Callithrix jacchus: one gene and its partner. The protein of the gene in region 2 purifies or fractionates together with the protein of the main gene of each other region. This does not show direct contact. Links are inferred from orthologs where the notes say so. Each region holds a gene or a part of one and is shown on either strand. Other genes may lie near its edges.

Region 1 (3,718 bases), on a different chromosome or scaffold from region 2:
CTTTTCTTTTTCTATTCAAAATGTTATGATTATCTTAAACAGAAATGTCATAATAGCAAAGGCACCTAAATTAGCAAAATCGAACAGGTATGTTTGTTTGTTTGACTACCTTCTCCATACAGCTATTATAGTATGTTCCCACTGAATGAAAGATCCTGGCCACTGTCCTAGATAAGATGTAATACTATGCGCATCTTGAGAGAATCTGAATATACAACCCTAGATTACAATGTGGCTTTAAGCTCATAAGGTGGAATAAAGAATATACACTGGGTAAAACATCAGAGCAGCAAAGATTTTAGTAAACGATACCAAAACCTTTATATTGTATATTGACCTTGCATATGCTCCTGATAATAATCCAGTAGATTCTGTCTTCTCGAAGCTTGCTCACAAGTAAACACTAAACTATTTCTTAGAGCTAGAATAAATATGGTCGAAAAACAACAGGCTGGGCATGACAAAATTCTCATACCTGCTACAGCCATGTGGATAAGGCAGGTTATTTCTTCTCTTGGCCTCAGTTCTCTCAAGGGAATAACCCTCCTAACTCTAATATTCCATGAGTCTAATTATTTAATTTACTGCTATTAAGTATGAAAAGACCAAAATCATATACCTCAATTTGTCCTAGGAAATTTCATACACAATTCAAGGTTCTTTTTGGACACAGACAACTAACTGAACATTTATCAAGTTCTGTATTCAAGGCAGCAGAAATGAAATTTATCTTTATAATAGCAACTTGCAGTTGTTTCTTAGACTTGCTGATGTAATCATATTTAGCCTGCATCTCAAGCCTTATCCTAAATATCGAGGAATAAGGCCACATCATGTGTTAAGAGGTACTCCAAGCTACTTGGTAACATACCAATTACATTAAGACAGGAGAATATATACATATCTTAATGTACTTAAATGGGGATGAGGTGATAAAACACGGAGGATAGCAGAAGAATTTCATCAGGAAATGCAGTATAGATGAAATGTGAATTGAAGAGTTAGAGCTATAAGCAACAACAGAACAAAAATCAACCAAAATACAGTAGTTAGTTTTAAAATATTTGGCAATAAATTTGTGAACTGCCAGCCAAAGCTTCAAGTATGGAAATGAAGACTGGGGTAATAAGGAAAATGATGTCTATGTTTTATTAGAATCATGATTATATGTTATCTGGCTTCAGCCTACATCCATTCCTACTAGAGACAGTGACCATCATTACCAAACTCACTGACCAGCAAAGAGAGACAGGTGAATGGAGTGGAGGAGAGCAGCAGTAAAAAGAGGAAGAAAGGTAAAAAAGTATCGTATGCAAAGTACCGTTCCTTCTGGGTCTTGTAGGACACAGTGTGGTAGATGTGAACCAATCAAAAATAAAAAGATGAGATTTCACATCAACTTCCCCTCCACTCTTACTTAACTCAAGACTTAGGGCTCACTTAGATGTCTGCTGACCGAAAATAATCAGCCATCTTCATGTCTGTTATAACAGATGCTCTCCCACATTGGCCTTTTCAGCCACGCCCTCATATAAGCTCATTATGAAGTAATGAGAGCATGCTTACAGGATACAAACAAATATCCACCTCATCACTCTTTGGTCACACATGTATCTCAATGGCTTCAGCTCTGACTATGAAGTACATAAGCAAACAAATATAATAATAGCAGTTAAATTCTGGTGGAGAGTAAGTACTTTTTGTAGTTATTATATTCAATTACACCTAATTACTAGGGTTAAATGATATAACAGCACTTTGTGAGATAATGTTCATAACCAGTAAAATTTCTACAGCTCGGTTTGACCAGTATATGCTGAGTGATTCCCCATGAATTCATCTTCTTCCACTGAAATAAATTAAGGATTAGTTTTCACCTGCTCCAACTGTAAACAAATTTAACTTTAAAAAGTATAGATAAAGAACGAAAGACATTCAAAATAGGTAAGAAAAAAAAGAACAAAATATTATTTCACTTAACTCTGAAAGGAATAATAAAGCATATACTGCTTTTTTTCAAGTTCTTCACCGCTTTGAATTATGTGAGGATATTTAAAGGTTAAATACATGCTTTTAGAAGCACAATGTTAATTCCTATTATTTAAACCAGATAATTCCAGATAATCTAATTTTGACACACAAATCCAAATATTTCACCAACTGGAAAATTAAAACTGCTAAATCTGCTCAATGAATTCCTAATTTTTGAAATCACTATTTTGCCCCAGGACTTTAATTGGAAGTATATATAACTTCTGACTTTTCCATTTACTAGGCTAAATAAAGTTATTTCATAGGAAAAAAAAACCCTGTATATCATAACGTTTTTCTTTTGAATGAGTATCTTGGGAAGACAACTAGAGACTTAATTTTTTTTAAAAAAGGTACCCCAAAATATACAACATGCTAATGCTATTCAAAATCTGGATCCAATTTACCTGATGCAGAGCCATGAGTTGAGGTCATACTTTTGACCTTGGAGTCTGAGAGTCGAGAAATACTGTTAGCTCTAATTCTAGGAGAAAATTTATCTGATGGTACTAATCTGGCTCCACTTCTAATGATGGCTTCTGCGGTCCTCGAAGAGGCACTACTTCTAGAAATTGTTGCTTCAGAGTCACTACGAGCTGACAGTGAGCCAAGTCGTGTTCTACGAGGCTGAGCCAATAAATCAATCCGAGAGATGTTGCGCCTTCCTGTGGGAGGTTTTGATGTAGAACTTGTTGTGGATACTTCAGAAGCAACAGATGCTTTGTCAGCATCGGCAAGTTCACTGTCTGAAGCTTCACCAAGTCGTGCTCTGCGCAAGAGGGAAGTCCTGGTAGGTCGTGGCCTTGGAAGAGTGGTGGATTTACTGGATGAACCAGGTACTACAGGAGAAGTCTTAGATTTCACTACTTTACTTCCTTCCAGTTTGGAATGTACATGCTCATCAGCTGAGGTAAGGGGAGTCCGAGCATGAGGTTTACAAGAATAAGTTTCTTGATCAGATGACATAATATCAGAGATAGCAGAATGAGGTACACTGGAGGTTTGGTCATCATCTGTTAGGTCCACTGAAGGCTGTCTTATTCTCCCACTAGATTGAACAAATTTACGACCATCTGCTCTTGAACCCACATCTGTGGAACGACTTTTTGTTTTCTTTTCAATTTTTTCCCTAGCACCTGAAGATGATGCTTTTGTAACATCTTTGGAAGGAGAACCTGTGGAACACCTATCTTTATAGAGGCTGGTAAAACTCTTTCGCTTTTGGGTAGACTTTCTCTCAGTTTCTCCAGTAACCAGACTGATTGTACTAGCTGTATCTACATCAGATTCTGGTGAAATAGAATTGTCTCTATTATAACTAGGAGTATCTGGTCCTTCATCAGTTTTATTATCTTCACGTAGTTTAGCTTCTAGAAAAGCCATTACCGCTTCTGTGTCTTTTAGAATAAGGGTTGTGTCCATACTAGAATCAGGATCCAAACACTCACTTCTTTCCCGTATCCTACTTGCAGATGTTAACGCTAAAGAAGAAGGAGTAGAAGTATTCTGTTTATTTATATGGGGAATAAGTTCTATGGGTATGTTTGAGCTGGGCTTTTCTATAGTGAAGCTCCCTTGTCGCACTAATGACTTGGAGGATTCCTTCTTGTCGCCTCCCTTTGGAGTCTGAGTTTTCAGAATTTCCTCGGCTTTTCTTCTCTTGCTCTCACTTTGTGCCATTCTTTCT
Region 2 (3,718 bases):
ATTTGCAAGCCTTTTATCATTAATGTCCATAACAGTATTAAAAAGTGTATCTTCCTGAAATAGAAGTGGGGCAAGTTTAAAGTATTGAGGGCAATGATGCTAAAATGTCATGAATCTTTCCAGGATTTAACCTAAGGAAACAGTCAAGGATGACTGTAAAGATTTCCCTACCAAGATATTCATTGCAGGACTGCATATAAAATAAGCCTTTAAAGAGGAAGATCAAAAGCATTCAGCAATAGACAAATTTAAAGAATATTGTGGCATTTTACCATGAAGGCTATAGTTAATATTTATTAAATACGAACACACTTTTTAAAATGTATTGCGGATTGTGATAAGAACACTTAACATGAAATCTACTAAGTGTATAGTATAGTATTGTTAACTATAAGCATAACCTTATGCAGTAGATTTCTAGAACTTATTCATCTTGCATGACTAAAATGGTATAACTTGAACTTTTGTAAGATATTTTCAATAACAAAAGAAGCCTCAACAATAAAACAGTGAGATATGATTTGTGAAATATAAAAATCCTTCTCCAGGGAAGGGAGCATACAGGGGGACCTATGGATATGTATGGACATCTCTGCTTTTACAGAGCCATGAACACTAACAACACACTCTATTAGCCCAAAGGCTCAAAACACAAAATTTGAAACTTCTAACAGTGATACCTTGATTTTCAATACTTCATTCTCTTTGTTCATTTCTAAGAGCTGTAGGTCTTTTCCTTTGATCTTTTTCATAAGCAAATCCAAACTGCAACAAGAAGGATCCATTTCAGAATGAGAGCCCTGTTGAAGATTTCCACAGCACTGAAATGGACAAACATGAAAATCTGACTATTTTTTCCTCTACAAACTTTGACAACAATAATGATCATTCAGTGTTAGATATATCAAAGAGGCTTCAGGTCAGCATAAATATACATCTTTTGAATCCCAAATAGCAATGGAAAATTCTAGATGAAACATCTGACTTCTATATTTGCTCAAATTTGAACAGATTCTTATATTGGAAGCGGTAGAATGACATTTTAACTTTTATATTTTCTATAGTTTCACATATACTGATAAGTGCTTTTGAGGAGATAAATAACATCCGCAAGGCCAGATAGTTTTAAAAATCTAAGTTGTGGACATAATTCCATTTTGGTTACATTGCATTATAGACTAATACAGTCAGACCTAATAGTTGCAATACATAATAGTCAATGTTTGGTCGTGTTTCACTGTAATTTCCTCATATTAAATTTCCAATCAGAGATATCCGAACTGAATGGCACTTCCATTATAACTTGATGTAAGCTCTAGCTCACTGAAAATATACTTGGAGCATAAATCTCATCTGGAATTGTGCACAGACTAAAGTGGAAAAGAAATTAGAAACCATCTAACTTAACCTGTCCATTTTACAGATGTAGAAACTGAGGACCAGGGTCCAAGTTTATGCAGCAAATGAGCAAGAGACCTCATGTCACAGCCTCTTAAATAGTTACTGTGTGCCCGTTCTTTCAATTTATTTCAAAACAGAGAAACTATTACACAATTACACATACCCCACAATTATAATAACAACTTCTATTTGTTAAACACCTGTTATGTGCCAGGTCATCTTTTAGATGTTTTACGTACTGTCTTTTGTCTGAATGCTCAAATCACTGAAAGGTACTACGCCCTTTCCACAGGTGAGGAATTTGAAGATGAGAATTTAACTAACATACCTAAGATTATACCTAAAGCAACTGCCAAATCAGAATTAGAATCCCAGTTTGTTTAATAGCAAAATATATGTTCTTTTCACTACAGTATAACTACACTTGCAGAAATAAAAAACACAAAGAACATAGTGCATGTGGATAGCATCCTCCCTCACTGTAACTCTGCCACAGTTCTGTTTTTTATAGTCCAGGCCCTAGTGCATGTTCCCACTCTCCATATATAGAATAGGAATAATTTTCTTTTTTAATTTGTTAAAGAATATTTGACAGAAAATCTCTTGTAGAAGAAGGTAGATTATCAGCAGTGGTAGATGGCTACAAAGATCATTGATCAGTGCTTTTCAAACTTCAATGTGCCTGTGAATTACTGGGTGATAGATCTGGTTAAAAATGCAGATTCTGACCGGTCATGGTGGGGTGGCTCATGCCTGTAATCCCAGCACTTTGGGAGGCTGAGGTGGGTGGATCACAAGGTCAGGAGTTTGAGAGCAGCCTGGACAACATGGTGAAACCCCATCTCTACTAAAAATACAAAAATCAGCCAGGAGTGTTGGTATGCACGTGTAGTATCAGCTATTCTGGAGGCTGAGGCAGGAGAATTGCTTGAACCCAGGAGCTGAGGTTGCAATGAGCCAAGATCATGCCACTGCACTCTAGCCTACGTGACAGAGCAAGACTCGGTCTCTAAAAAAAAAAATGCAGATTCTGAATCAGTGGTCCTGGAGTAGAGCTTAGATGCTGCATTTCTAACAAATTTCTGGTGATGCTGAGCTGCTGGGACTGCAGAGCATACTTGAGAGTAGCGAGGCCCTAGGTCACTCTGGCCAAATCCCTACAGGGCCAGAAGGCTGATGTTTTGATGCGTGGTTGATCTGCTGACCTTCTGTGGTTTGAGGCGGCTAAGACAGATACATGGCAACACACTGTCGTCACCATTCCCATGAAGCCACTCCTATCAAGCCACCAATATGCTCCACATTGTTACATCCAACGGTTGGCATTCAGTCCTCAATTTTCTTGGCCCATAGACAGCATTTGACAGAGGCGTCCCGCCCCACTTCTGAAACACTTTCCTCATTTGCCTTCAGTGACTCCTGCTGAAGTAACCTTGACAGGAGTAGCTCTAAACCATGAAAGGTCAGCAGATCAACCACACTTCTAATCATCACCCTCTGGCCCTGTAGAGGTTTCACCATAATAATCTAGGGCCTTGCTACCCTCAAGTGTTGGTCTACAGTCCCAGCAGCTCAGCATCAGCAGAAGTTTGTTAGAAATGCAGGCCGGGAGCAGTGGCCTGTAATCCCAGCACTTTGGGAAGCCGAGGCAGGTGGATCACAAGGTCAAGAGACCAAGACCATCCTGGTTAATATGGTGAAACCCCGTCTCTATAAAAAATACCAAAAAATTAGCTGGGCCTGGTGGCACGTGCCTATAATCCCATCTACTAAGGAGGCTGAGGCAGGAGAATTGCCTGAACCCAGGAGGCAGAGGTTGTGGTGAGCTGAGATCGTGCCATTGCACTCCAGCCTGGGTAACAAGAGTGAAACTCCGTCTCAAACAAACAAACAAACAAATGAAATGCAGCACCTTAGCTCTATCCTAGAACCCTAAAATCTCCTTCTTTTCCTCCTAATCCACCAGCCTCATCTTAGCTTATGAAACCCTTTCCTCATTTGCCTTCCAGTGGACAACACTAATGAAGTACACTTGGCACAGATGAGGTTTAGCCTGGTGTAATCCAGACAATGCTAAGTACAGGCTCGACTTTATGTATATAAAGCTGATATTGTAGAAGGGAGCACATTCAAGCTTATCAGCTATCTGACAAAGTAGTTACTCAACTCAGGCCTAAAAGCTTCAACTGTGTATGTCTATTCGTGTGGCCCAGGTGAGCCTAAAAGCTCTGCCTGTCATTGGGAAACATCACTGTCATCGATCTTGGCTGGGCTGACATCTTCTCATTCACTTTAGATAAGTAAGCTTTGTTTAATA

The links. Proteins that work in one complex are often made in the same cells at the same time.
Region 1: the proteins of CCDC68 (region 2) and CEP170 purify together in Homo sapiens (co-immunoprecipitation; 3 studies listed by BioGRID and IntAct, counting the BioPlex papers as one, with this or other methods). This does not show direct contact. The link is inferred for Callithrix jacchus from reciprocal best matches to the Homo sapiens genes CCDC68 and CEP170.

What each region holds. Positions count from the first base shown.
Region 1 is NC_133520.1:42,978,450-42,982,167, reverse strand, and holds part of CEP170 (centrosomal protein of 170 kDa), read right to left. Parts: coding exon 2,439-3,718; intron 1,690-2,438; exon of another isoform or gene 1,587-1,689; intron 1-1,586.
Region 2 is NC_133514.1:98,119,588-98,123,305, forward strand, and holds part of CCDC68 (coiled-coil domain-containing protein 68), read right to left. Parts: intron 822-3,718; coding exon 681-821; intron 1-680. UniProt on the Homo sapiens protein: Centriolar protein required for centriole subdistal appendage assembly and microtubule anchoring in interphase cells. Together with CCDC120, cooperate with subdistal appendage components ODF2, NIN and CEP170 for hierarchical subdistal appendage assembly.